3 linked regions of the Lepisosteus oculatus genome follow. The protein of the gene in region 1 purifies or fractionates together with the protein of each later gene. This does not show direct contact. Links are inferred from orthologs where the notes say so. Each region holds a gene or a part of one and is shown in the gene's direction. Other genes may lie near its edges. The genes, in order: arrestin domain-containing protein 3, adrb2a and NEDD4-like E3 ubiquitin-protein ligase WWP1.

The links.
Region 2: the proteins of arrestin domain-containing protein 3 (region 1) and adrb2a purify together in Homo sapiens (affinity purification with western blotting; 6 studies listed by BioGRID and IntAct, with this or other methods). This does not show direct contact. The link is inferred for Lepisosteus oculatus from reciprocal best matches to the Homo sapiens genes ARRDC3 and ADRB2.
Region 3: the proteins of arrestin domain-containing protein 3 (region 1) and NEDD4-like E3 ubiquitin-protein ligase WWP1 purify together in Homo sapiens (affinity purification with mass spectrometry; 4 studies listed by BioGRID and IntAct, counting the BioPlex papers as one, with this or other methods). This does not show direct contact. The link is inferred for Lepisosteus oculatus from reciprocal best matches to the Homo sapiens genes ARRDC3 and WWP1.

The regions. Positions count from the first base shown.
Region 1 is NC_090698.1:72,935,716-72,946,010, reverse strand, and holds the start of arrestin domain-containing protein 3, read left to right. Parts: upstream 1-6,525; 5' UTR 6,526-6,828; coding exon 6,829-7,108; intron 7,109-10,295. UniProt on the Homo sapiens protein: Adapter protein that plays a role in regulating cell-surface expression of adrenergic receptors and probably also other G protein-coupled receptors.
Region 2 is NC_090706.1:28,678,104-28,688,433, forward strand, and holds the start of adrb2a (adrenoceptor beta 2, surface a), read left to right. Parts: upstream 1-5,716; 5' UTR 5,717-5,731; coding exon 5,732-5,902; intron 5,903-6,073; coding exon 6,074-7,285; 3' UTR 7,286-10,330. UniProt on the Homo sapiens protein: Beta-adrenergic receptors mediate the catecholamine-induced activation of adenylate cyclase through the action of G proteins. The beta-2-adrenergic receptor binds epinephrine with an approximately 30-fold greater affinity than it does norepinephrine.
Region 3 is NC_090701.1:25,939,065-25,948,879, reverse strand, and holds the start of NEDD4-like E3 ubiquitin-protein ligase WWP1, read left to right. Parts: upstream 1-5,912; 5' UTR 5,913-6,043; intron 6,044-9,815. Other genes in the region: V-type proton ATPase subunit d 2, read left to right, coding at 510-587, 2,423-2,584. UniProt on the Homo sapiens protein: E3 ubiquitin-protein ligase which accepts ubiquitin from an E2 ubiquitin-conjugating enzyme in the form of a thioester and then directly transfers the ubiquitin to targeted substrates.

The DNA.
Region 1 (10,295 bases):
TTTCGGGAAAATGCATTTACTAGCCCCACAGTGCCTTGTGCGATGCCTCATCTCAAGGCTCATTGTGGTTGATTGCGTCACTTAAAAAATAGTAGTTCTCTCCTATATTAGAAATGGAGAAGTGTGCTTGAGGGACTTCCTTAAAAGCCAAAGTTCTTTCTTTGTGGTAAGCTCATGAAAGCCAACCAGTCTGAGTTCATGTCACTGAAATAGCAGTGTTGAGCTAGATCTTTAGCTGATCAATTTACTACCATTATAATGATTGAAGAATCCAATATTCGTCCCTAATGAATGTTTCCATTGTATTCTGTGTGGAATATAGCTTTGGTGAATATGTAGTTGGTAAACTGCATATTTGTGATATTAATAAATATTAACCTGAATCACACCTGAAGAAGGCTCCACAGCCGAAACGTTGTGTTCTCTTTCTTTTTTTCAGCATGGAATAAACCTGACGCAGCTACCCACCTAATATTAATAAAGTTGTACTGTACTCGAGCAAGGCCTCGGCGAGAATTATGCAAACAATTTTAGTCGCCACATTTTTCCAAAAATATGTTGGAATCAGAACTGAAATAACAACCTGTCTGATATCGTGACAGGTTCAATAAACCCACAATAAAGTTAATAATAAGTTAATCTCATTCATCTCAATCAGAAAAGACTACAAATGTTGCCTGATTCGTGTTTCTTTGACAAAGGACACAAACCAGGGAACCGAGTTGGAAACGAGAGGGAAATGATACGTATAATTCAGGAGAGGAGAGGAGGCTCTTCGCTCCCCCAGAGGGTTGTTTAGTATGCAGCCTGCCCTGTCTGTGTTGCATGAGGAGAAAACACTCCGCAGTCCGGACTACAACTCCTGTGTTCTCACATGCTATAGGCTGTTGTGGCCACCAGGTGTCTCCATCACACCCATTATGTAGTTTGCTGAGCATTTTTCTCTCTGTGCAACAGTTTTCATGAAACACAAGTATAAGTAATCAAAGAACAGGCACAGAAACAAATATAAGCATTCCAATAATTGTATAAACAAATGGCTTGTTTTAGATTCTGTGTTGTTTTATGAATCTAAAATGAGGCTCAATGAACAAATGTAACAAGTTCACCACCAAGGACGTTGCATAATCCAAAATTTCAATTTCATAATCCCGGCTCTGATTTCCTCTTTCTTACACCACAGAAAACGGAATTTAAATGATTTATGTGGACGTTTTAGACGAGCATAGAATTCAACATAGAGACACTTGGAAAACAAGTTTAAAAGTTTTGAAGACCAGTTTGAACATTGTACACTTAGTTAAAGTGTTCGCTGACGGCTGTTTGAAAGCTAATGTGTCTATCAGCAGGTAAAACAACTTGTTGATGGCGCAGGCAGGTAGCCGGATTATGGATTTGGTATTGTTTCCAGGTGTTTTTACATAATGCCCTCTCATTACAAACTCACTTTTTTGTGCAAACAAGAAATCCTGTGAGCACTAGATTGGTAAATCTTCATCATTTACCTGACCCTTTTCTTCTCAGCTTCCTACTCACTCGTAACAATGAGGTTTTTTGACACTAATGCACTCCAAGGTATCTAATTAACTTGGGGTAGTTATACAGCATTCTGGTGCTTAATGGATTTAATCAAAGATACAGACTTCAGAAATAAAGTAAAATATGTAATTTACTTTACTAGGGGTTTAAAAATCAAATACAAAGAGTTCAGGAATTGTGCTTTTTTTCAAGGTGATACTTGCTTATCATTAAAACGTTCACTGACAATCTTTTGATGATTTATGTGAAATATTTAATCAGCACCTAAATGCCAGCAGCTATGTCACCCTGTCACTCCCAGCTGGAAGCCCACTGGAGCTCAGCAGGTGTGAGCCTGGTCAGTACCTGGATGAGAGACTCCTGGGAAAAACTAAGGCTGCTGCTGGAAGAGGTGTTAGTGGGGCCAGCAGGGGGTGCTCACCCTGTGGTCTGTGTGGGTCTTAATGCCCCAGTATACTGATAGGGACATTATAGTTATTATTTACCAGCGGTACACCTCGAGAAAGTATGCCAGAACCATTAAAAGTATACTAAAAGAAAGTATTATGTCTTCTTTATAGCAAACAATTCACAGTTATGTAATGATCACTGGCCATTAGAGATCTGTTACTATAATAATTTTCATAAATAATTTTATATAAAGCCATTATCTTCTTATACTTCTATTTAGCAATTATTCAGCATCCTTCTAGACCTGTTCCTTTACCACTGTCTTACATACTTCTTATTGTTGTTGTTCAGCTGACATTGTATTTTTCCCCAAAGGGATTTACATTCACACAGAGGATGTCTGTCTTCCACAGAGCCCTGCCCACAGCCCCTAACATACCAGCTACCAAACACTCGTCTAGCTGGCCTCGATTTCTGCTTTGGGATCTCCTCCCTACTCTGTGTTGAGCTTGCAGGATTCCAGGGGCACAGTAAGCCTTCCCTCTCTCGCTGCAGCCTTGTGGGATAGGTGTGCACGTTGCCCACAGAGAGCGAGCTCCTGCGTCTCGAGGAGAATCAGCCAAGGAACAGAGAACACAGAAGACTCAGGAGGGCAGCAGACACAAAGGACACAGGGCTGAGAGGTCTGGCCCTCCCTCAGACACTTTGCTGCTCCACAAGAGAGACCAGGGTGGCATCCAGTCTGAGTGGAAAGGCCGTATTCTCTTACTTACACGTTACTGTTGCCCTGGAAGAGGTGTTAGTGGGGGCAGCAGGGGGCCCTCACCCTGTGGTCCATGTGGGTCCTAATGCCCCAGTATAGTGATGGGGACACTATACTGTAAACAGGTGCCGTCCTTCGGATGAGATGTAAAACTGAGGTCCTGACTCTCTGTGGTCTTTAAAATCCCAGGGTGTTTCTCGAAAAGAGTAGGGGTGTAACCCCGGTGTCCTGGCAAAATTTCCCATTGGCCCTTACCAATCATGGCCTCCTAATAATCCCCCTCTATGAATTGGTTACATTACTCTGCTCTCCTCCCCACTGATATCTGATGTGTGGTGAGCCTTCTGGCGCACTATGGCTGCCGTCACATCATCCAGGTGGGGCTGCACACTGGTGGTGGTGGAGGGGATCCCCATTACCTGTAAAGCGCTTTGAGTGGAGTGTCCAGAAAAGCGCTATATAAGTGTAAGCAATTATTATAATTAGTATTATTACTGTAGTAGTTTGTTTTACCCAGTTTCTATTTGAATAATGAAAGCATACACTTTGACTCATCTTCGTGCACTGCATTCTGAACCCTGGTGAAAGGCAAACGTATATAAAGGACCACAAATATAAATTGCGTTTCTAGTCAACAAGTAATCTAACAGGTTTTCAGTTGCTGTTGTTTTAATCACGTTGCTGTTAAAAGAGGCACGAAGACACTGCGTGTCAGAGCCTTTGGGGTGTCCTCACAGTTAGATGCTAAAGGGGGAACCCCCAGTGATCCCGAGGTGAACCCCACTAGCACACAGCCCTGCCATTCAAGACATCTTTATTTTCATTTTTGGAAAATTACACTTTTCTTAGTTTCTCAGACTTGTTCCAGAAGTACAACATTGAAGAAAAATATGACACGACATGGCTGCAGCGAGAGAGACAGTCCGAACAAAGTCAAACCCACAGATGCCCCTGGACAATGTCTTGCACACTTGGCCAACTGGGGATGGACAAACCATTCAATTACAGGACCAGGGCAAGCTGGAGGTGTTAAGGAAGAGGAGATGGGATTTTGTTTTCCTTCAGTTCCCACCTGTTTTCTTACACTGTGTATCTGTGTGCAGAATGTTTATACTTTATTATTGTCTGGGGTGAGCTGGAATGAGCCGAATGCATTTCTAACTCAATCCTATCTCATGAGAGAGAGGGACCTTCGTCTGCACTAAAACAATTAATGATGGCTCAGCAGTAATGATGCTTCAATATTAAACGCGCAGGAACTCTTATAAAAGCCTCAATAGAATCCTTGGTGTGATAAAGGTCTGTACTTTATCACACCAAGGACTGCACCTCCATAGCAGGGGTTTCTGGACTTTCTCACAAAGTGGAAATTAAAATGATGAAAATGAATAAACTCGAGCAGCAGGTATAATTTGACGCACATGGGCGGCCAGTTGTGAGTAGCAGGGTGATATAGCTGCCTGCTACAGGCTACAGGACAGCTAGAATCATTTTAAATAAATGGGACAGCAGTCTCATTAAAACAAGGTTCACATTACAGGACTCGGTCTCCAAGGCTGGCCAGGACAAGGTCCTCTCACATGAGACAGGCTTCAAGGAAGAGAAGGGAGATGTTTTTTTCTCACTGTTTCTTTCCTATCTTCCTTGGTTTCCTCTGGTTTTGATATTCTGTGTTTCTGTGCGCACAATGTTATCCTTTATTATAATTCACCGGAGTAATTCACCAGAAAACCCCCTTCTGATCATCTGTGTTTTTGCTGCCTGTAACCTGATCTACAGCTCTGCAAATATATCAAATTAAACCCATAAAATTTTCTCCATAATGTATGAGATTCAATAAAGATAAAGCCAAACTTTGAGATTATATGTTTGAAACATAAGGTATTCAACGCGATACTTTATCGCTAAGAATGAGTACTCTTTTGAAGTATTTACTCGGAATGGAATTATGACCCCAGATGAACACTAGATGTCGTACTCTCACCGTAGCAAACTACACTGACCCACACTGAGTTTCCTTCTGCTGGTTTACCGGTGTGATTTAACAGAACCCATTCAACAAAGCCGTATCCCGAAGAATTCCATAGAAGACCTACTAGAACAAGTACAAGCATTTTGAAATAAATTGTTATAACAAGACTCAGATATGCATCGCAGAGCTAATGGACCAACTAGCAGCGCCATATTACCTAGCATGCACTGTGCATAGGGCCTATGATAATTTAACGATCACGATATGAAATATAACGATAACGAGCCTAGGATAAAATCGATGTCCACATTTTAAGATATTTCTATAATATAAACTGTAACATAGATATTTTTGAATATATCCCATACACAGCGACGATGGGCCATCTGAAACAAATCATTCAACATAATTTTGATCACGTATCTAATCTGAGACATCAGAACTCCTATAAATACTCCTCCACCTAATCCAGGGACTGTGAAAGAGAAGTGCCCAGCATCTACAAGGTTCTTTCTTAATCCAGCTCTGCAAACGAGTAAAATCCCCAGGACAGTGTGCCACGTGTAGGTGTTCTCCTTCACAGGAGGCGTTAGACGAAGGTCCTATTTGCTCGCTAAAGACCCCTTGTCCGTGAACTTGTCCTTGTCTGTAGGAGCAGAGCTAAATTCCGACTCCGGGTTTGTACTATGTGCCCTCCTTGAAATTCTCATTAATTCACCTGGCGATGTCCTTTCTCCGCTTGCATCCAACACTAGGTGGCGCTGCACTTCACTGCTGGGGGACGTGGATCCTGTCTGTGGAGCATAAAAGGGGAAAAACAACTATTCTTTTGAGAACGTGGCTGCGTCACCATGCGTAGGCTGCAAAGGGACACAGGTAAAGGTCTGTTCCCTGCTGAAAGCTAAAGAAAAGAAGCACAACGTTTTAGCCGTGTTCCTTCGTTTTGCTTTCCCTTTCAGCAAGAACCGAACCAGTATCTGTTCCGAAATATTGTTAGACCTGAGACAGGCTAGTATCCACTGCTTCGAAATGTACCAAATTGATTTTAACAACAAAATGGCATTACAATACTTAGGCTTCGCAATCAAACACTAACTACAGTAACTAAAAACCGTCATCTGTGATGCAACTGCTCAACACTGCAGCTCTGTGAACGTTTCTATAACAGCTTTGCGTGCAACAGGTACACAACAGGCACAAGTGCTTTGCGCACTTTTATTTGCCACAAGGTGGCGCTGCATAGCGCTTTCCCTGCTGCTGCTTCCTGACGAACCGGCGAGCAGCGCCGTGTAGTTTTCCCTCACAGTGCGGCGGCAGAAACTGCTGATCGGGAGAAAGCTGCAGTGGATTTAAAAAGTATGAAAGTCAGAGATGTTGTATTTATGTGGAGCGGACGATTTAATACGCTTAAGAAAAAAAAACGATCTGATGTTTTAAACTCCATTAGTTTGCTCCAAACTGTGCATCCAAACAATGCTGCAATAGGTCACGCATCGCCGCTCCGCTGCGAACTCGCAGCGTTCACGCCACACAGCTAAACAGACAGGCAGCTCTGCGAAAGGGCTGATCGCGGTGTTGCTGTTGTTTGTTTGTTTGTTTGTGTGTTTAACCGGGTGTTGCATGTCTAAAAACCAGGGCTCGGCCAGGCGCGAGCCGCCGGCGCGGGGCGCGCACGCGGGCTGGCCGGGCGGCTCGCGATCAGCTGTTCCAGTCAGCTGGCGCGGGGCCAGGTGTCAGCGGAGCCACGCCCCCTCGCTCGCGGGAGGCGGAAGGAGCTGGGAAGGAGGGATGGGAGGGGGAGCGCGGCGCATGCGCGGTGGGGTTGTTTTTCACCAAATCCTCGCTTTTAAGTGAGGGGAACCGGAGCAGCAGCTCGTCTTTGTACAGAGACCACGGAGAGGAGGAGGTGCGCGATAACAGCATCGAGTGCTGTTATTTAGCCTACCAGCATCTCAATGAACGGCTGGCGAGGGAAGCACTGATCCTGCCTGCAGCTCTTGCACGGCAAAGGCGTCGATCAGTGTGTTTGTTTGTTTGTGTGTGTGTGTGCGTGCTTTGCTACGATCACTTTTTTTTTTAATTTGGTCGTGGCTGTCTGCTCAGACCTTATTTTTTTTATGTGTTCTTAACAAAAAAAACAAAACAAAAAAAAAAACCCGAAACCATGGTGCTAGGCAAGGTGAAGAGTTTCACAGTCAGCTACGACTGCCTGAATGACAGCGCCGTGGCCGTGTTCTCCAGCGGGGACTCGGTCTCGGGGAGAGTCGTCATTGAAGTCACCGGGGAGATCCGGGTCAAGTCCCTGAAAATCCACGCGAAAGGATTTGCAAAAGTTCGCTGGACCGAGTCGAGGAACGCCGGGTCCAACACGGCGTACACGCAGAACTACACCGAGGAAGTGGAGTACTTGAACCACAGGGACATCCTGATCGGACACGAGAGAGGTAAGGGGGAACGCGCCGCTTCTGCCTTTTCTTTTTAAGGACTCTGGGGGGTGGAAATGTCACGTTTCCGTGAGCTGCCCTGTCCTCTGAAGACCGTGATCCCGGGGCTGTCATGGTAGTTGCACCGAAATTCTGCCCTTGGCTAGAGAGAGACGCTCGGCTGAATGCCCCCCATATCCCAGTAGTTCATTCATTCCGGCCCCAGGAGTGCAAGATCGATTTGCACGTCCTCCTTCGTCGAATATTGTGTGTAAAATGAGCGTCTCCCCTCTCCCTCAAGTGAGCGTTGGAGGTCCTGGACCTCTCGAGTGGGTTAGCGAACTTCTCGAGTGGGCTGCAGGTTAGGTCAGGCAAGGCAGTGTGAGTGAAAAGAGAAACCGAATCGCCTCCACGGAGCTCTGAATACACTAGGTAGTTTTGCCAGTCGGGGTCCGGTTTTTAAAATGCAGTCGCTGTTAATACTGACAGGAAATATCTGAAGGAATTTCAGGCTGGGATGTGTAGTTGGAAGAAGATGCCCGTTCATCTTTCGGACAGTGAGAGGTTGCGAGTACTTCACACACCACGAAAGACAATTAACTGCTTACTTGTCGTTGTTTTTTTTTAATGTACTGTGTGTGTATATATAGATTTTTTTTTTTTAAAAGTAGTTCATTTTAGACCAGAACTCGTGTCGACTCTCGGGACAGCAGGAGTCAATGCGGTAAACGTGAAATTTGGTAAAAAGAAATTAGAAACGGCTCACGGCGCCGCGTCCTTGGACGTATGCGGGAACCCGGGGTTATGCCCGGGCTCTTTGGGTTTTAAATCTTTGTTACATTTGGCTTTTTTTCCCCCAAAAAAGATGATTTCCTTAAGTTTCCACCCTTTGTTAAAAGCGGTTCAATCCTGTTCAGAAACTGGTTGCTGGGGAGGAGGGGGGGGGCAGCGGGCTCTGCCGTTCTCGCCCCCCGATTGGCTGGGCGCGGTCACGTGTGCGGCGATGACCTCATGCCTTTGCAGGGCTGAGCGAGCGCATCCCCACCTGTCTTTTCCTGGCGCACGTCTGGGTTCAGCTCCCATTCCCCAACCCCCGGTTCCTCCACGGCTGCCCCAGGAGTCGACCCCCGGTTTGCGCTCTCTTGTATGCCGGAGGCGGAAGGGGGGCCGGGGGACGGAGATTTCCCCATCGGCAGTTTAAGGGGCGCAGGCAGTGCCAGTCGTTGAATCGCAGTTTCTGGGAACTTGCGAGCACGCAGACCCCCGGAGTTGGAGCCAGGCTCCTGGCGGTCCGGTGGTCTGTGTCGTTTTAATCCGCAGCGGCATGGGCGACAAAAACTAAACTCCCTTAAGCGCCGTCTCCATTTCTAAAACACACAAATTAAACACACGACACTTTGGCTATTTCCTCTGGAAGGGCAGCTGTAGCGGTTGGCGAACCGCCGCGCGTACACACTTTGATTTTTGTATGTTTATTTTATTTATTTTGCTGTGTTTACACCGCCGTCGCGGTGCGCAGAAAGCTCAGAAAGTTTTCGGCAGGTTTGGACACTTGGGGTTGGTGCGCTCGGGCCGGCTGGGCTGGCCCCGCCCCCGCCGGGCGCCCATTGGCCGAGCCGGGTTTGTTAGTCCTGTTGCCAAGGCAGTGCTGGAGCCTGATTGGACTAGAAGTTATCAGCTGCGCGGCGGACTGACACGTGATTTCCATGCTTGTTCCGACCAGACTCTTCTACAGCCGGGTCTGGTCGCTTTTCTCACCCTTTTCTAAACTGTAATGCGCTTCAGTCCGGAGGACAGGCACCGGACAAGCCTGTTCCAGCTCTTTCTTTTGGGATGTGACTGTACTTATTGTGTGTTTTGTACACTGATGTAAGACGCGAAACGCTTATGTTGTGGGAGCAGCACCGCAGTGGTGCCCCTTCCTGGCATGTATCTCATCTGTATGATCTCAATGTGAACCTTGGTTGGTTGTTTTTTTGTATATTTATACCTTTCTGCTGCTTTAGGGGAAGAAAAAAGCTGTCTCCCCCCCCCTTGTGTAAAAAAAACAAACAAACCCGCCGCTAACAAAATAAAAGCGAGATGAATTCTAACTTGTTCCGCCTCCTGCGTCTTTATTTGCTATTGTGCATTTTCTCTGTGGTGTGGTGTGTGTGTGGGGGGGGGGAGGTCTCTTGATTTTCTCACCTGGAGGGGTCTGTTACGGAGGCCGGCCGGGCGCTGGGGCGGCTGCAGTGCGCGGGGCGGCTCGGCAGGGGGCGCCGCGAGGGAGCGAGCAGCTTCGGTTTCTGCAGTGCGTGCGTGCGGGGGAGCTGCTCGCGCCGGTTTAGGCCGGTCCTCTCCTGCTCGAGTCTGTCTGTGATTGACAGCTCAGCACTTGTTTACCAGGACCGAGCTGCTGCTGCTGAGGCAGGGGCAGAGCGCTGGCGCTGAGCTGGCAGAATTGTAACTTTGGGGGAGAGGCGCCCGGTGTGTGTGTGTGTGTCTCTCACAAGCTGTGCATGCGTGCGTTTTAAAACGCAATTTAAAAAAAAAACCCGATAAAGCAATTGTTGGGAGTTGTCAAACTGTGCCAAACGCAAAAATGAGACGAAAGCAAAAACTAGTCTGTCTCTTGTTTTCGCGCAATCCTCTGAAATGGAAGAAGGGCAGTGGGTCTCCTTCAAGGAAGGGAGTTTGTTACAAATGCCACAACCCCCCCACCTCTTTCCCAGGCCGTGTCCGAATGAGCGGGCGCTCTGGTGGGGAGAGCACTGCGATGGGTCCTTTGTAGCGCCTCAGGAGTGTGTGTTGGGGGGTCGTTTGAAAGTGGTGTGTGAGCACTGACGGGGAGAGGGAATGCTGATGTTTTTCAGGAGGAGAATAAGGGGGAATTTGTTTGCCATGACTAGCCCCCTATCGCCTTTTCTTCATGCTCATGGGCGCGGGAGTGGAGCTGCTCTGCCTATGAGGGTGTTTATTGGAGACTAATAGAGATTCATTACCTTTGTTCTAGGAAACTGGTTTCAATGCAAATACACATCGAACCTTTTTTATGAGACTTGACTTCCTGTTTTTTTTATCTACATTTATAAATGTTTAACATATCCGGTTTCCAGAATTAATTGTGACCTGTGTAATTTTTATCCGTCTTTTGTTTCTGTTTTTTTGCAGTGATGTTTTAAAATGTTTCAATTCTGGTATTTTTCCTTACCTAGAAATGTGTTTT
Region 2 (10,330 bases), on another chromosome or scaffold:
ATATCACGCCTTCATTTGGGTTTCTGATGGGATTTCAAGAACGGATTTTTATAGCCAGTTTTCAACCCACCTGCCCTAAAAGCAAAGTCCAGTTGGTTTGGTGAACGATTTCTCCTTAGCGTTTGGAAACTAACACCAAGCTATATTACAGTCCCCGTAGTAGGTCTACACTGCCCGTCTAACAGTGCGCCAACTGGTCCCCCACAGTCGCAGGGAAAGCTGTAAAAGGACAATGTCCGTGCCACATCCCACAGTGGCACTGTGAACATGGGTGCAGCAGTCTCCCACACTGAACAGAACTTACTTCTTTGCCTCCAACAGAGTCCAGGATGACGAGCGGCCCGCGGCTGACCTGCTCCTGATCTTTTCACCCCTCGGTGCGGAAAGGGCAGACGGCCATGCCGCGGTGTGAAACGAGACTCCTAGCGGCCCGCCCGCCCAGCCCATGCCAGGGGTACCAGCCCACAGCATAAACAGACCTGGCACCACAGCCCCGTGCAGCTGCTCCCACTTACAGCACAGCGAGGGGGTTTTCTTATCATCTCTCCCTCCCTCTTTATTTTCCTTACAAAAAAAAGACACAGCAAGCCAGGAAGGTTAACGTCACCGGCCCAGCGCTGAAGAGGTGCCCGGCTAAGCACAGCCTCCTGCTTTTGTTTCTGGAAAGGGTTGAGATGCCACCCGTGTGCCAAGAGCCGATACTTGATATTCCTGGGCTCGGCGTTCTTTAACTGTCTCCGCTCAGTCCTATTTCACTGGATGCTATATTATTCCCACCCGAGGGTCCGGGACCATATATGGTGTGTAAATAATATCCTTACAGTAATACAGCGCTCTTCTGGACCCTCCACTCAAATCACTTTACAGGTAATAGGACTACCCTCCACCACCACCGCCACATGGATGATGTGACGGCAGCCATAGTGCACCAGTACACTCCCCATACACCAGCTCTCAGTGGGGAGGAGAACAGAGTGATGAAGCCAGTTCAGAGATGGGGATTATTAGGAGGCCATGATTGGTAAAGGCCAGGGGGGAACACCCCTTCTCTTTTCATGAAGCATCCTGGGATTTTTAATGACCATGGAGTGTCAGGACCCCAGTTTTACACCACTTCATCAGTTTTACGACCCTACTGGTCCCACTAACACCTCTTCCAGCAGCAACCTTAGCTTTCCCAGGAGGTCTCCCATCCAGGCTCACACCTGCTGAGCTTCAGTGGGCTGCCAGCTGTGAGCTCCAGGGCGAGTTCCAGGGTGCTGGCAGCTATCTCCCTGTGATAAATCACAGTTATCTCCCTGGGGGTGGGAGTTTTAATTGTTACAAAATTGTTAATTATTTTGTCATAGCAGTCTAGCAAGAAAAGGGCAGCTACAGTAGCCCTGGCTCATTTTGTTTCTATCTGAATGTCCTTTAAAATCTTATGTATAGCCTACAGTATAGTATCCCATTTGGGGGATACTGCACTGCCATTTTCATGAATTTAGTATAATACCACAATGTCTAAAACCTGACAGAATTAAGATTAAATCTCTTACATGACATGTTATAGGACTTGCATTTAAATACTAAAAAATAACAACTATAAATAACTACTAAAAAAAAACTACTAAACTACTAAAAAAAAAATAACTACTATTTATAGTACAAAACTATTCACAGTATTTAAGTTCACAAATCAGGTGAATTTCTTTCATTAGTTTCTTCATTGCACTATACAGAATGTCCTGGGATCCTCTGATGCTAAAGATAGCCCCCAGCCTCAGTTGTGCCAGACACATTGGGTTCACAGGCTCTCAGGCTGAGCATACCTTGAATGTAAATGTGTAGATTCAGCTTTCCAGATCCCAAGACTCTGCACTGTATCAGTAGATGCACAAGACTATGGAACAGAATTTCTGCAAGCACATTATGATACAGGTACATTACCAAATACAACAATACTAGTGTAATAAGCAAGGTACTTATATGTATCAAACATATACACTCTTACCTACATGTACGTTGATAGTGCTGTTAGTCCAGTGTAATAGTAAGTGTGCTTACATGGTTGGTAATGTACAGTACCTGGACTATAAAGTGTTTATGGATTTGGGTTGTTTATAGAGTTAAATGAGACTGAGTAGACTTTCTTCAACATTCACCAGGGGGCAGTGCACTTACTTTCCTATGATGATATACTGTTTCAAGCACTTGAGTAAAACTGGTTATGATTTAGTGATATTGATGCAACAAGTTCTCAATTGTTCCAACAAGAGAGCACTTTCTCCGTGGGATCACCCTGCCTGACTCTCTGTTAATTCAGTGTTGAGGAGTTTACAGATAATTATTGCACAGAAGTAAACACAAGCTTTGATTTGTCCCTTATCAGAAAGCTAGGACTGAAAGAACTGTTTTTTTTTTCCTGGTAAAATATTCATTTAAATAGATTTGCGATACCATTTAAAATGATTGCAAAACCGCAGAGAAACAGCTTTTCTGACTTGTGGTTTTGAGCGGAGAGGACACAAGGGCTTATTCTGGAATGTGACTTAGTTATGATAGGTGCTTCTGTTGGGGCACATAAATTGATTCTTAACCTTCTTAACCATGAGGAGACCTCAGAGGTAACCTTATTCACACAATAAAAGAAATAAAGGCCATTCTATATCTGCTGTCTTCAAAAGGAACCCATAATGAAAAGAACAAAGCTTAGATGCTTAAAATGAACACTGGCCACCTTATTAAAAAAAAAAACTCTGATTGCATAGCAAAGTGCATTCATCATTCCAGAGAGACTGAGAGAGACAGATGCAATCTCACTAGTGCAGAGTTTTCCAGCAGAATTCCAACTCCAGGTCTCATTTACTCAATTGAAATTCAACCGTTGCTTTGCTGGGAATATATAAGATTTTTCTCTGCTCTTTTGCTTTTGATGACTTTAACAATGGCCTTGGCTCCTGACGGTTATTGAGGCACACGTGATGGTCAAAGTGCCCCAGCTGACTAAATAACGAGACCAGTTTGGAAACAGGACATTTGACTGGAAAAAACTCTGTTTCTTTTCAAACCCCTGAGCGTCTCATAAGCCTGTCCCTGGATATACTGGCAGCCAGGATTCCCTACACCTGTACAAAGAACACAGGTGGGACTACAGTATATTCTCCCTATTTCCTCTGTGGCCAGACTGATGCTGGGCCGACACATGATGTACACGAATAGTGAAGGCTCTTCAGTCCCCAGTCAGAACTCTTTTTATAGTGCGTGACTGTGAGCTCTCTCTCTCCTGGCTGCAGCCTGGTACTATTAATGTTCGACTGGGAGGCCATTTTAAGCTCTCGGCAAATTTATTGCAAGGTGCACATATAAGCTTTGATGTTTGTGTATCTCTCAGGGAAAAAAAAAAGGTCATGCTTGTGGAGCTTTAAATATGACAGCACCATTTCATAGTGAAGAAGTGTGGACATTTGTGTATGCAGTACGCTAGAAAAACTGCACACCTTTTGTTTCTGGGTTCCAAAAGTCAAAAGCTGACTCAGAAGACAATGCAGGACTTCAAATACAACCCGATCGTGCCAACTTAAAACTGAACTACTGTACAATACGTTGTTGTTCACTATCTCGTATTTATTGTTAACATGTTTTATTTTTACTGGTTGTTTATTGACTGTATATATCATTATTATATACCGTTTTGTAATGTACTGTCTACGTCGTGAGGTGTCTACTGTCGTCTGCTGCACTGTGCACTGTACTGTATGTCCCGGGTGAACGGACAATTAACATGTCCATATGGCAATAAACTCATCTGCTCTGCTTGAAAGGAAATGTACTGTACTGCATGAAACCTTGTTAATTATTTGTCGTGGAATTATACTCAGGTGTGGTAAATCTGAAATATTACGAACAACAATATTAATAAGGCGATTAAAGTAGTCACAAAAAAGAAATCTTTTTTTTGTGCTCTTTGCAAGAAAGACTGCTTTCTTGGCAGTCTCGTGCTATTGATTAAAAAACGTATTCAAATACGTTTCCTAGGAAATGTATCTTCCTCTAGTCAAATAAAAAGGTCCGTGCGAATAACGAGCCATTTATCCTTTTTGAAAAAGTCACTATCGTCGCTTTTCTTCCGTTTCTCCGCGCCTGGTTTCTCTTACACCAGGTGACGGAACCAACGCTTTTTTAAATTCAGAAATGCCGAGCTTCTGGAAAGCTGTGAATTGTTTAAAATGTATTATACTTAAATATTCATGGCAAGGATGAGTGCTGTCAGGCATAAATGAACACAACTCGCTTATACATTCCCTGCACAACACAGAATTTTTCAAAGTTAAACACGCCGTTAAAAAAGATCCTTCCAAACTAAGGAAAATAAATTCGACTTCTTTGCGTTGTTTTGATAAAAAAGCTTAATAAAATGTCTTTAAATAATTTAACTGAAGTGGTAGCTGAAAGACGTGTTCGGATGGATTTTGTTCACAGAAACAAAAGTAAAACAGTGGCAAAATTCACACGAAACGAATATATCTACATGGGTTTTCCAAGACCTGTCAATATTTCAGAAACAGTTCCGAACACCTAAGATACTAACTATACATCACTTGACTTGCGGGCAGACAAGATGCGCGGGAGAAGGATTTTTGAGATCAAGACGGTCTCATTCAACGCTGTGTGCCTGTCTACACGCTGGCAAGTTTAAAGACAAAACTCATTCACAGAGGTTCGGATTAACGAGTACAATACAATACGGGATACAATACCTAAAATATCACCGCAGACTCGCCTGGTTAAAAATAAAGAACAGCTATTCTGAAAGTAATCATAGAATGGGTAGCCAACGGCTTCCAATCAATCAATTAATCCCTAGTTTTGCATAGCACCCTTTTCTGAGCACAATTTAACATCTAAAATCAGATACAAAAAACATTCAAAACAACCTGCAACAAATATGCAGTAACAAACAAGCCAATATACAAAAGCAAACAGAAAAACGGGAAAATAACATTAAAAAACAACGATCCTCTCAGGAATTAGAACCGGGAGATAATTGTCCCTGCAATTTCCCTCACGGGATCAATAAAGTATCTATCTATCTAAATACCACTTTCTCGTGGACAAAAAGCTTTTTCAAAAGTCGCACTGACTTTTAGTCACACTGTGGATTCAAAACAAACACTCCATTTATTAGCCCCTGCAGTTTCAGGTTAGGACTTTCAAATGTTTTTTTGTTCACGAAATGAAAAGCTTATTTTCACATACATACTGTATACAGTACTTTCCTTTGACCTCAGTAGGATTAATCGTCCCATTGACAAGGAAACTTGGGGCAGACTTGATTCTGGGGGGCACAGAAGTTGTTCTTAGCCTTTTGTCACGAGTTTCAACGGTTTAGAAAATTAAGACAGTCACCCCAATCAGTCAGACAGCCAGCACAAACCGAAAGAGAGACACAGAGAGGGAAAGTAAAATCTGTTCTTTTGCATTTGTACTTCTTCCTTCGAGACAAGACCATAACAGACTGATAAGCTATAAGAAGCTGAGCTTTTTGACATATGCAGCACTTTATACTTCCTCTGTTGATTTGGTTCACAGACAGAAAGTGACCAGTCCGATGTTTCACACAACAGCCTTTAGCGCTTTGCCCTCCTCGCCTGCTCATTGGCTGCTGGAAATGATGTCATCGCCCACCCTTACTATAAGGTTCTGTCAATAGCCTGCGAGCACCATCCACAGCCAGGAACCTGCATACTGTATGTGCCAGACTGCAACGCAGCCTCTGAAAGAGTGGGACAGAAATGAGCAGAGGAGAGTGCGACAGGGCTCTTTCGGGAAGTGTCTAAACAGATTTCGGACATCAAAGAGCAAAGGAATAAAGCTGATTGATGTGGGAGAAAAGAAGAAGACAAGAGCACAGCAGGAGAAGGTTAGTAAACTTTCTCCCCCCCTTTAATAACTAAACACCTGTTTTATGTTAAAAAAGCACAAGCAAAAAAAAAAGTGTTTTGTTTTTTATCGGCTGCCCCCCTTGTCTTTCTACCGTTTAAGCGGTCCATTTATTGACCCGTCTGTCGCTGTTGCTGTGGTTGTTTCTCAGACCATGGACCCTCTCAGTAACAGCTCCGCGTCCAACTCGAGCAGCCCTGAGCACAGCGAGGCGTCGCTGGTGGCGTTAGGCATGCTGTTGTCGCTGCTGGTGCTGGGCATCGTGTTTGGGAACATTCTGGTCATCACCGCCATCGCCCGGTTCCAGAGGCTGCAGACCGTCACGAACTGCTTCATCATGTCGCTGGCCTGCGCCGACCTGGTCATGGGCCTGGTGGTGGTGCCCTTCGGGGCGTGCCACATCATCCTGAACACCTGGCACTTCGGCAACTTCTGGTGCGAGTTCTGGACGGCCACGGACGTCCTCTGCGTCACGGCCAGCATCGATACCCTGTGCGTCATCGCCCTGGACCGCTACCTGGCCATCACCTCCCCCTTCCGGTACCAGTCGCTGCTGACTAAGTGCCGGGCCTGGATCGTGGTGGTGGCCGTGTGGCTGGTGGCCGGCCTCATCTCCTACCTGCCCATCCACATGCAGTGGTCGGTCTCCAAAGACCCCGAGGCCCAGAGGTGCCTGAATGACACCCACTGCTGCGACTTCAACACCAACACCGCCTACGCCGTCACCTCCTCCATCGTCTCCTTCTACATCCCCCTGGTGGTCATGGCCTTCGTCTACGGCAGGGTGTTCCAGGAGGCCAAGAAGCAGCTCAAGAAGATCGACAGGTGCGAGGGCCGCTTCTACGTCCAGAGCGGCCTCCCGCAGCAGGAGAGCAGCGGCGAGCCCAAGGGGGGGAAGGCGCCCCCAAAGAGGGCCTTCAAGTTCTGCCTGAAGGAGCACAAGGCCTTGAAGACCCTGGGGATAATCATGGGAATCTTTACTCTCTGCTGGCTGCCCTTCTTTGTGCTCAACGTGGTGGAGGCCATTGGCCAGTTCCAAAACACCAAGCTGACGTTCAAGATTCTTAACTGGATAGGGTATGCCAACTCGGCCTTCAACCCCGTGATCTACTGCAGGAGCCCCGAGTTCCGGCACGCTTTCCAGGAGATCCTGTGCCTGAGGCGGTCGCCTTTCCCCACGCTGGGCCCGCCCAATGGTTATGTTTACAGCGGACACAGCTGGCAGAACGACCCGCAGGCAAAGGGCAGATCGAGCTCGGAGGACAGCGTCACCCCGGAGGGGACGCTGGCCAAATGTCGGGGTCCCCTCTCCGGGACGGACACCAACGGCAACTGCAGCAAAGCTCTAACGACTGTTGTATAACTCGCTGACTCCCCCAGGGGGAAAAGGGGGAGTTTTTTTTTGGGAGGGGGGGGGGACACATTTTATGAATGTGTTTGAATGTACAAGTGGGGAATGCAGGGGGTGAGACTGTGGGCGGGGGTGGTGGGCGCCATTGAGTGGGTTCTGCTAAAACGAAAGGAGCCCACTTGATCACATTCGCTCTCACGGCGGGAGAGTGGGTCTCTGCAACTTTAAATTTCATTTCACCTACCTCATTGTTTTTATTTTTAATTTTTTAACGAACTAGGGACATTACTTCTTTTTTAACGAATGCAAGAGAGCAATGAAGCCAGGCTTACGTTCTTACAACGAAAGAAAACTCCGGATCCTTTCAAGAGCGAAGAAAAAGGAAGGGCTCTTTTTTTATTGAAGGACAAACGTGAAAACGGTACCATAACAGTATTTAATTGACGTCTGCCGACCATGCTAGCAAGCGGTTTTGTAGAGTTCAATATGTTTTGCTCCAACAATGAATTATCTTGGGGGGAGTCGAGGGTAAAAGATTCAGAGTGGTGTCTCGGGCTGTCTAGTCTCAGGATTTGCACAATGTGGAAGTGCAGTCTTAACTTTTAATCACTCACTAAACAGGACGTCAAGGACAGTGCACTCGCGATCGAGTTTAAATCCGCCTTTGACAAAACTGAAGAGAAAACAAAAACAGGAAAAAAGAACTATAACGAAGTATACTCAAATTATTAGCTTGCACAGCATTCATCTCGTCCGCATCTTCAATACATTCCAGTTTCATTTTGTGGAAAATTTAAAGCGAGGCTTAATAAAGCGCGGCGCTGTCGACTCTGCTCCCCAACAGTAACCCAACACTCAGAGGGAAAATAACAGGTGCAAAGCGCCGCTCTTTCCGTTTAGGAGGAAAGGGCTGCAAAACAGTTGAGCAATGCTCTTCGACAGTTACAGCCCCCGACAGCTTTTCTGATTGGTAATACTCTTGAAGGTTAACCCCGTTTTGTCTTGTGGCTGCGGTGTGTTGAGTTTGCCGAGACTCCCATTATGGGGTTCAAAGCTGAATCGAACCCAGTGCAGGGGGGAAGGCAGTCCGGTCTGGAAGTCAGCTAACAAAAAAAAACAACCCAAGGCGAATCCAGGCTGAATTCCAGCTGTAGCCGCTGGTGTAAAGTGTAGATACCAGAGGCGGTATCGAGGTGTAGTGGTGGGGTTTCGGATTCCCATCTAGAAAGTTGTGGTATCAAATCGCAAGGAAAAACACGCGAAGTACTTCACCCAGATCGCAGCAGTGAAATGCTCGGGTGTGTAAACAGAAGTTGGTCTTTGCCGATACAATCGTTAGCCAATTAAGTTAATAAAAGCAGATGAAAGTCACTCTGACCATTCTGTAACTACAGTACAGCCATTACCAGACAGACAGCACTACCGACTGTTTCGACTGCTACTATTAAAAAGCACACTCAAATGTATCGATCTTAAGCTTTTGAGACGTTTTTGCTGTCGTGGCTTCTCGTAGGAAGAGAAATCTTTACTGGAGGCTGAAAAGGTTCCGTCACGACATTTACTGCGAATGAAAAAGGGAAGATGAGTTCCTGCGTATACAGTACAGTATATCCGACTCGCAAAGCACCCGAGTCGAGTATTAACCGCAACGGCTCCAGTCCATTCTTGCCTCTCAGAGACCCACCAGTGCGTCTACACACCTGTCTCTGCTCTGGTCTAGAGGTGTTTTCTGAAATACAGAGATGAAAGCATCCGGGCAGGAAATCAGACCGGGGGCGGTTATAACGCGCGCAGTACGAAAATACATTTAAATAATTTCAGCCTTCTCGAAGCAAACTTCATGCAACAGAAAATGCATTTTGTGATCATTTGCGCCCATTGCATGCACTGAAAGAAAATCGGAATAGCTGTCTCTATTCCCAGTGTGCCTCCTATCACCAGCGTTAGCAATCGGTAAATTCGTGAAAGTGGCTTATTGAAATATACTGTAGGCGGGTATCAAAACTGTGAACTTATCGTAATCACAAGCATCAATATAACTGGCATTCCTCCTATTCACTTACAGTAATTACCGTGTTTTCAGGCTCTAAAGCGTTCTCTTTAGAAATCAAAGCATTGTCGTTCGCCTTTCATCCCCTTTTCATTTGTTGAGTTTGATCATATAAATATCGTTCAGATATTAAGAAGGGGCACTTTCTAATACTGAGATAGTTTCATCGTTCACTGGTACTAAAACAAAAAATAATCGACATATACGGAATAAAAGACATACAATCTGTATGTATATTTTGTGTATATGTAGACCTGTACAGTGTATGTGCACGGAAACATTTTTTCTTTGCGAGATCATTTTAATGTAAAAAAAAAATATTTGTATAAACGTCTGTAAGTGGATATCAAATGAAATCCATACTAGAACGGTTTTTCACAGCCTTCTCATTTTTGATGGTGCATACCAGTTAGAAAACGTGAGATATATTTTTAAAATTTGTTTTAAAACAAATGATTCTACATAGAACTGCTTGAGATGCACTTTTGTAACGTGAAACCAACCGTGTGGAAGAATTTGTATACACCGCCCTCTGCTGGCGACTTACGCATCTGCACACTTTATGTCCTGTCGCAGCACCGTATAGTACGGAAACCCTCATCAGCAGTGCTCGTTATGGGAACGTATCTCTCTCTTTCTGTGTGTGTTGGGGGCTCATCCCTCCAAAACTCAGCCTTATCCCTGCACTGTTCAGGAATCAGTTTTTAATATGTGCAATAGCCTTGCAACGAGCCAGCTGAGCCCCGTGTTCCTTCGAAACCCAAAACGCATCAAGTGACACTAAAAAACCCAGCGCAGACAGAATAGCATCGGCAAGTTTAGGTTGTGGGTCTTTTTCCAGGGACCGCAGGAGACAAGAATGTCAAGTCAAGAATGCATTATTGTTCAGGAAAAGTGGCAGTGACACTATCATCATCATCATCACAATCTTCATGAGAAGTCAGTACTAAAACATAATAACTCATAATGGGATAAGTTCCCATTCCCCTGTATTGAATCAGCATCAT
Region 3 (9,815 bases), on another chromosome or scaffold:
AACATAGCAAACAATCTGAGCAAAAAGAATAATAGGTTTACTCATATTGTTTCGCTGTACTGTGTTTGGCTTTATCAGGAAAGAAAGAGTAATACAATCTTACAAAATACCTTAATATTACATACAAGAGCATTTTTGCATTCTTGCAATCTGTAGGAGTCAGCAAAAATTTTGAAAATGTTTTAAGATAAATGATCCAAGTGGCTCATAATGAATATTTACTTTCATTTAGTCCAAAGCATGAAAACATGTGAATAATTTTGTAACCGCAAAATCAATATGTTATTGATACAACATACCTTGAAGGAAATCCATTAATTCTCACTTTGTTACAGCAAAGCTTTAGAGTTCTGCCAAAACATTTAGCATGAGCTGACCATGTTGAGGAAAGGAAATGATAGTAACGTCATTAAAACAAGTTACCACAGATGTGGAAGGAGAGGAAAAGTAGCAGAAAATAGCCATTTTCTCTGATTAATTTAAGATTATCTCTACTTGGATTAACACAGGAATATAAACTGATTTTTGAGGGATCCGAGCCAGGTTCTATTGAGAAGACACTAGAGGACAAGTTCTTTGTGCATGAAGTAAGTCCATATTTACGTTGAAATCTCTTCATTTGGTAGAAGCTTTTATCCAAAGCAATTTACAGTTTCATCTGGTCAAGGGTGCATGTACTGTAACAGGGGCATACTGTAAAACAACCACAGAAAATACTAACCTAGCACTAATTAAGTACTAGAATGTTTCAGTGTTGCTTCACAAGTGGGAAGAAGTATCATAAGAGCATAGTCCGTTAGTGACAGTAAGTCACAGGAATGAGCTACACCATTTATACATATGGTACTATGCATTACATTCCTATGTTCTTCAATGAAATCTAGTTAGGAATCCATCATTAAAATAATACATGAATACATGGTATATAAATACACAAATGTATTAAGATTTAACAGTAAAGAGAGTTATTCTATTTTATGAAATGGTGGTTTGAGCGAAATAATGCTGCTGAGCTAAGCTAAGTTAGCAAGTTGTCAAAGAGAAGGAAGCTGTGGTAGTTCTGTGAGTAAAATGTTCCCTTAAAGTGACAGTACTAGAGTGGTGCCAGGAAATATGACACAATCTGAAATATTGACCTCTAAATACCTCTTTTTTGCAATTGGTGAAAACCTACGCCCTGCAAAATTTCATTGTAATTACACTGGAAGTAGAGGTACCTCATCAGCCTTTAACTTACTATTTTTCATGAAATGTGCCTTTCTGTTCTCTGTTGCAAATGTTAACATGATTGCATATAGAAAGTGCACACATTACCTTTCATATCCTTGGCTACAATGTAGAGATAAGTTATTACAAGGACGAGATACTACAAGGGCTCTTCATCTAGGTTCTCCATACCTGTAGCTGCTTCTTCCCACGTTCCTGGAAATGCTCTGATGGGTAGTGCTGACCTAATAATTATTAGGACACTAATAATTATATTAGTTATATAATTATATATAGTTAAATCTGATACTCTGGTTTCTTTCAATAAGCAACTAGAAGAGATCCTTGGATCAATTATCTATTAATTACCAGATGGACTAGATGGGCAAAATGGCCAATGGTCTCCTCTAATAATATAATAAAGGCTTTACCACAGCCCTGGGTCTCTTGGCTTTCTTTATGATGATCCTGAGATCTGGCTTCAATTCAAAAATGCTGAAGCTGCCTAGAAAATTGCCAAGTGGATTGAATATGATCAGTGACTCTGTGCTGCGAGCTGTAGCTCTGATCCATGAGTTTTAATGACTACTCCTTTGTGTCAGGAGATCTGGTACAACACTGAGGACTTATTCATGATTCAGATCACATATCTGGAGCTCAACGATTAAAGAAAACAGATGACTTATGTTTCGATTTCTAATGAGATCTATGGTAAATGCAAAGTCTAATGAAACAGAATCTCTTTGATTTGATTTAAATATATTTCTATCCCATTAATTTTAGCACTGATTTCTTACAGAAGACTGTTTCCTAATACTGCAAAAGAAATAAGAACCTTCAACCTGCTTTTAGTGAGTTTAAATGACCATTTTGAAAGATGTAGCCTATGTGATATTTTTTGTGGTTTTCTGGAGAATTTTTTTTACTGATGATAAAAAAGAGAAAAAGTGAAATGTGAGTGACTTGCAGATAGAAACGGTATTAAACAGCAGCTGTAAAAGCTCTTTTAAAAGTGTACAAATAGAGACCTGCTTTTGAAGGTAAGATGCAAAATTCAGTTAAGACTGGCACATTGTAACTGGTTGTAACAACTAAGAGGTAATATTGTGACAGAGTGGAGAAAGTTGCAGTTCTTTGTTTAACCATGTGATGTGCTTTTAATGCCTGTCTTCTTTAGGCAATCACATGATGTGCTTTTAATTCCTGTCTCCTTTAGGTAAAGTTGAATACCCTGGCTTTCTTGAACCAGTTCCACTTTGGGGTGTTCTACGCTTACGTGAAGTTGAAAGAACAAGAACACAGGAACATCGTGTGGATTGCAGAATGCATTGCACAGAGACAGAAAAGCAAGATTCACAACTACATCCCCATTTTCTAAATTAACAAACAGGACAGAAAGGCAACCAATAGCTTAGCAATTGTGTATTAACCTACAGACATCAATATATTTAATTTGTCTTTCACTGTGAACTTAATAACACACTTTCAGAACAAGGATATACAAAATGCAGCACATATTTTGTAGATGGACATAATACATATACAATACAAATAGTGTGTTTAGAATGTCCTTTTCATTTATTCCACTTTTTATTTTATAGACAACTTTAAACTTTCAATTGTGTGTGGAGAAGCTGGATGCAAATTCTGTGAATGCTTTTACTGTCCATTTAAATTTTTGCTGTACATCCAAAAATACGTGTTGGAGCTATCTTAATGGAACATAATATAAAATACCCGAGACATTCATTTTAATAAATGAACCGAGTTCATCACAAACTCTGTTACACTGTAGTAGTGTTACACTGTAGAAAAACATGGAAGACTCGTGTGTGGAGTGTTGCATGTCTGTCCCATGTTTGTTTAGGCTGTTATTTATCCTGAGCTGGGCTGGATTCTGTCACTGTGGGGAAAAAATGCATTATTATGTATAAAAAACATTTTATTTACAGTACTTAGTACTTAGTGTTGCACTGAGGTTGTGTTGAAAAGCAAAGAGCACACATCTAAAAAAGGGGTGTAGCTTTTCTAGGCCTGGGCACATCTGGGCCTTATGATTCACCATACAGGGCCTGGTCTATTTCATAGCCTCCACATAGCCTATTTACACCTGCTATGAGACACCTTCCTTTCTGTCAACTAGAAGACCATGAATCCTGATACAAAACCCTTCCACAGTGACTGTCTTTCAGTGTCAGCACTGGTCCAGTGGTGTACTGTTTCAGCCAGCCTGTACCTATCTGCCTGTTTCCCGGCAGCCCCATTCCTGTCAGTCCGTACCATCTGCCTGTTTCCCAGCAGCCCTGCTCCTGTCAGCCTGTCATCTGCATCCCCAATTCTGTGGTCTTTTCCAACTGGCCTCACTTCTTTCAAACCTCAGCGCTTTCTCCAACGTAGTCCTTCACTTGGATCTCAGCATGACATAACAACAACAGCATAAAACCAATGTCCCTGTATGGTACCACATTATGACAGATTGGCCATTAAATATCCAATGACAATGTTTGTAAGAGTTAGTTAGTCCGCTTTTTCTGGCTAAATTCCACTCTGTGCTTGCACAATCTGGTCTCCCTAGGTGTCCCTGTAAGTTCAATTATTTACCTGACCTGCTGTGTATTAAGGCTACTACTGAACTTCAGTATTGGATGAAATTGGTATCTCCAATATGTAAACCATTTTAGCATTGCTTTGGAATGAATAACACTATAATTATAGAAATTATTTTAATAAAATATCAAAGATCTAAAATTAAAACAATGTGCAGATGCAAATAACTCAGAAGACGGAAACCTCTCTCAATTTCTGGAAGGTTTTAAAGTCAACTGTCTTGACACTGTAGTTGACATAGTCAAACAAAGCAACAGTTCCTTAAAAGGATGCAAAGTCCAAGATGGACAAGGCTGTCAGAAAGTGAACCAGCAGTCCATGTTGCTTAAGAGATTTCCACAGCTCTTTTAGTGGGTGGACAAATCATAGACCAGAGAAATGGCTAATATTGGTCCTGCAGAGCCACAGTCCCTCGGGTCTTGTATATCCCTTAAATCACTGGATCACAAGGAACTTTGGTCCCTTTAGTCAGTTGACTGATTAAATGACATTAAGAACAACTACGTGCACTTGAAGAGAGTGAAAGGGTGTTGGTATTTTCATTTTAAATGTTTTTGAAACAGCTTCATTTCAATCATATACAGTACCTCAGTGGTTAAAACAACATTGAGGTTTATAGAAAAGATGATTTAAGGGTGACTCATAAAAATCTGCTGATCTGTGGAATTTGATGACTTGTCCACTCCTGACTTGAACTTTTTAGTTTTGTGAACAAATGAAAAAATAAGGATTTGATACTAAAAGTATTCTTATTAAGAAAAAAATCTTGTTAAGAAATAATTCCTTCACAAGAAGAAATTATTTTTGGAAAGTACTTAGGAAGACGAGAAACATATTAAATGAATATTTGAACATGGGATATAAACCAAATAAATTCATGCAATGGTGTAGACACCCAGAAATCTCATTTTAATTAAAAGTGAGAGCTTCTAAAGAAGAGAAAACTACTGTATATCCATATCCATTATTTTAGCTGTGAAGAGGTCAATATATTAGTATTTTAGTCTCTCAGCTATAACAGCCCTGAACAGATAATAAGCCTACCAGATTAGCCTACCTGTTAAAATTCGTGTTTAATGTTTAAGTAGCAAATTCTGTGGATACAAAATAAAAGTACAAAAACTGTCATAACTTAACAAAATAAGTATTTTTCTTTCATCTGACAGTGTCTTCACTGCCCCCCTTTCCATCTAGTGCATCAAATACTTTAGAAATGCTCCACCATCATTTCCAAATCATTTTAATATATTTTTTTACTTCTCAAGACACATTCTTCTAACCGCAAATCTGTAAAATCGGTACTTTGAGTGGAGTCCAATTGTGATTATTGTGGTTAAAATGTAAGAGGTCAAATGACCAATAGAACAATATACCAAATTGGATTGTTTAGAACATTTTAAAATACATTTTAAAATTATTCTAATTTTCATCATTGCAATTTAAAACGATCCTAGTTTTTGAGAACAATACATAAGAAACTAAAGGGATTTCCATTTCTTCCCAAACACTGATGTTTACTGTCACCTGGTTAGTTGCACTAACTCATGAGACAAGACTTAATGCTACTACTAATAATAACGGGAATGTTACTTTTAATTCTCGTCTGCGATGGATATAATTCTCGAGCATTTTACGTTTCGGTTCATTAATATTAATTTAATTTAATGTTTATATTGTAATATTTGTGTGCGTCAGCAGTGAAACTGCGCGTTGATTGATGGAGGGCAGAGCGGGAATAAGGGAGTAACAGACTATGGTTTAATGTAGGAGTTAACGCGTTCGGAGTTACGAGTTAAAATATTTTGAGTGGTGCATCGCCGTCCTGGGTTGTTATTTTATACACTTTGTTTGTATAAGAAACACGACATATATAGATATTTAGATAATGCCTCTGAAAAACCTGGACATTGCTCATACGTGTTGTATGTATTGGCTGTGGCTAAAGAGGGGGGGGGGGTATACAGTACATGATGAAGAATACACCGCGTATGCAAGTTTAGCGCTCACAACGCCAGACTGGGCTTCATCTACTCACGCCTGGGTATCGCAGCAACATGGTAACTGTGCGTGGTGACGTCGCCAGGCGGGAGCTGTGCGTGTCCTGCGTGTGCGCGCACGCTGCGGGTAGAGCAGGAGAAACAGACTGAGAGATGGCAAAAAGGTCTGCTCGCCTGGCGAAGCGGTGGAGTGGTTGAGACTGTATTAGACGGGCACAAGAGCAGCGGGCACGGTAAGAGTTTCCGCCAAACCTCCGAGCTGCTGTTTTGGAAATACGGTGGTACCATGTTCTTCAGATGGGTCACTTATCCCAGGTCTTGTCTCGTCCCCTCCGTTTCAGGCTCTGTGTGTCTTACAGAGGTTGTGCAGTCCGTGCGCTCAGAGTTGTTTGTGTTGTATTGCACTGTACGAAAAGATGGCGGACTCAAGTCTGGAGTGCTGGGGGCCTGTCCCGTGTTTGTTCTGGCTGTTAATAATCCCTAGCCGGGCTGGATTCTGTGCACCGATGAGAAAAAGATGATGATGATGATGATGATTATGATTATTATTACTATTATGTGTAAAAAGATGGTATTGCGTTTTCGAGACTTGGCAGATGAATAGTGTTCATAGCTCCGGTGATAAAACCCGGTAACCCATCGGCTGGAGTTGTGTCGTATAAATATTTTGTTTTCCTCAAAGTGAACTTTTATGACCTGTTTCGCTTGCTTCAACACCGCCGAAGTTCCCGTTGGTAAACGCAAGCAAATTGAATGTCGGGTTGTCCAGTCCTTCAGATTAAGCTGTGTATCGGATTACAAATAATTCAGTCTGCAGGGAAAATAATAATGATAGGAGTTTTAGTATTACTAGTGTGATAAAAATCGGATTTGACATTTAATAAACAATCGGCACGTCTCAGCTTTCCCTCACTGGTGTCAAGACTGGTGGGCCAGGATGATCTGCACAAAATGAAGACAGATTTATCAATTAAGGCAACAAGCATGTGGTATAAAAATCGCAGTATTCTCAGATGTTTTTGTTTTGTGGCGCAGGGGAGCTGAGAGGGGTCTGTAGAGCGATAATCTGCAAAGTTTGAAATATGTTTGACCAGGCTTTCAGATGAGCAGTGCTGAGCTGGGGGAAAAGTTCAGTAGTCTCCCTGTTCACAGGCGGTTTTATTAGAGGAATTACCGTTATCTCTGGTTGTATCGTGTTTGTACGTCAATAAAAATTTGCCAAGTCAAGCACGCAGTGACCCTTGCGATAGTGTTGTGTTATTTAGTTGCTTTGTTTTGCAGAAGTAATTGGGGGGGGGGGCTGCCAGTCTGAGCAGTCTCTGCTGCTCTGTCTCCATGAACCTTTTATTAGAAATAGTGTACTTGTACCTTTGGGTTGCCCCATTATTAATCCGTTTGTCTGATGCTTATATCCATTTGGGCCCATTTGTACATGCTGGGTATTTTCCTGGAGCAGTCTTGAGTGAAGTACCTCACTGGGGGGAAGGCTGACCTGGGGAAGACTTCTAAGACCAGCACTTGACACAAGGGAGTGAGTACTGGAGTTAGCTTGGGCATTTTGAGAAGTGCAAAGCCCCTACGTTTTGTTGAAGTGTGGGACTGGATTGGATTGTGCTCTGTAGTAAAGGTGCTTTACTCAAGCTGCTCCAGTAAATGCCCTGCCATTTAAATGGGGTCTCTTTGGGTCTGTCATTGAACAGTGAGAATTTATCGTTTGAGTTATCTGGTTAAATGAAGGATAAAACAAAATACAAGATCCACGACTATGGGATTCGGCTACAGTTATGCCAGTAAGACTGTCCAGTTAGTTGCACTATAATTGTTCTTTGGAAAGCAGTTTATATCGAATGATCACGCATCTTAATCAAACGATTTTACCTTTGAAAACAGCTGTTGGTGGTGTGGATGGTGCGTGTGCATTATATACTGTAAATGTGTAATGTTGCAAAAAATGTATTTGCAAGGTGTTAGTACTCCTTTTGCATCAATACACAGTCCTAGGCCTAATTGTGGTACACAGTAGATTTCACAGGGCCTTTTTGTCTGTCTTCATGCCACAAGTGGGTATGTTGATTCAGCCTTGTTTTGAAGTGTCATGCTCTCCCTATAATCATGTGCTCTCAGCACAGTATGGGTAGATGAAAGTGAAGCACCCCTGTTATCTGTTCAGCTCCACATGAGCTGGGTATTCCAGGCCTCGACTGATTCTCCTAACCAGGTGGACGGCTGTTACAGAGCTGACTTTCTATGGCTTTTCTGGAACAGGAATTAGAGCCTCACTGATTTGTACAGCTGCCTCCAGGGCTAGCCGTGATTTACAGAATTTGTGTTTTAAAGAAAAGGATAGGAGACTTACTGTTTCTTGTAAAGTGTTTGACTTTGTTTCTTGGTAGGTTGGTATGGTAGATATTGTGCATTTGTTGCCCTGTTCTGTAAAACCTCACACCTGGATTTTCAGTTTTAGCTAAGTAAAGCTAAGTAAAGCCTTTGTCAGATTGTTTTCTGCTTGTTAAGTGATGAGTTGGAATTAAAACACAGACAGTGTTTACCCTCAGTGACTTTACATTGGCACTTGTCTGTCACCACGTGGCTTAAACATTTCTCTCAATGTTATATTTTGGAATATTTTTTTAACATGCTTTTGTTTGATAATGTATTATCCCGCATTATACAGTGACACTGCTGTTCAAAAGCCTTAGACATGTTGTCAATCTACATTTCTATGTCAGTCTTATTGAAATATTAGCTAAATTCTTATATGCTAATAATTAATCCTGAAATGTATTTATTAATAAGTTAGACTCTAGTGTACTTTAAATTATACCTTCTGTGCTTCAAACAAGTTGGGGAAAAATCCAGGAACAAGTGAATCTTTAGAGAATTGTTGAAAGGGAAATTGATGTTGTCCAGGATTCAGCATTAATCCCTGCACACTCCTCCATACAGTATGAATACTTGTTCCTCACTATTTTGTGCAGTGATTGCAATGGTGATGGACTTATAGGTAGCATCTTTTTAGGTGCTGATGTTTGATTGCCTCTTAACCATTGAGAGGTACTGCACAGTGGATGGTCTCCTCCTCATGAGGTTAAGGTGTGGAAGAAACTGAGATGGGTCTTGCTGAGACAGAGGAGGGGGTAGGCATGCAGGGATAGTGGTGCAGCAGACTTTAAAAATAGCTGTGGGAATGTTCCTCTCAGCTAAAATGCATTTTTATATTTACTTACAATATTGATGCAATGTGACAAATGAACTCTGAGAGGTTGAGAAGAAGGGCAAAATCATTCATATACGCTGGCTCACATCCTTTCACTTTCCACTGTGCTGGTGTGGCAGTGGTGCTCAGGGTAGGATGGTGGCTTCAACAGAGCTGGGAAGCAGATGTAAGCAGATGTCACTTGTTGTAATCGGGCTCTAGCCTGAAGGAGGCGTGCTGTTTGTAACTGCCCCTGAATTGGGACTAAATGGGACTGATGGCAGACACCTCCATTCTGTACCTTCTGTACATTCTGTACCTATCACAGCTTAGTAAATAAAATTACAGTGAAGAATCTCCTTAATCTCCACTTCACTCTCAGAATGAACTAGAGAACTGGCCATCTTATCTACACATATGTTAAACAGGTGCTGTTTTAAAGTGACAGTAAAAACGTATTGTTCATTTGTAAGTAAAACTGGTCACTGGCATTTTAGTGGAAAGTTATTGGTCTCACTTGCTTATTGGCACTAATTTCGTACTGATTCAATGGCAGTTTCTAGCCAGTCTCTGTTGCTGCGTTCAGAAAGGGTACAGGAGTGTTAGCTGTCAGGATGGAGGTTGAACATGGTGAGGCATGGCTGTTGGAAGAAGAGGACATTGAATTTTAGGCCACATTATGTGGAGCCAACAAAAAGCCTTGTGAAAGCAGACAATCTTGGAAGTTCAGCTTTGTCTCATATTGTTGGTTCTTGCTTGGACCCTTACCAGCAAGAAATTAGCTTACCTAAAGCGCAGCGCTCAGGAAG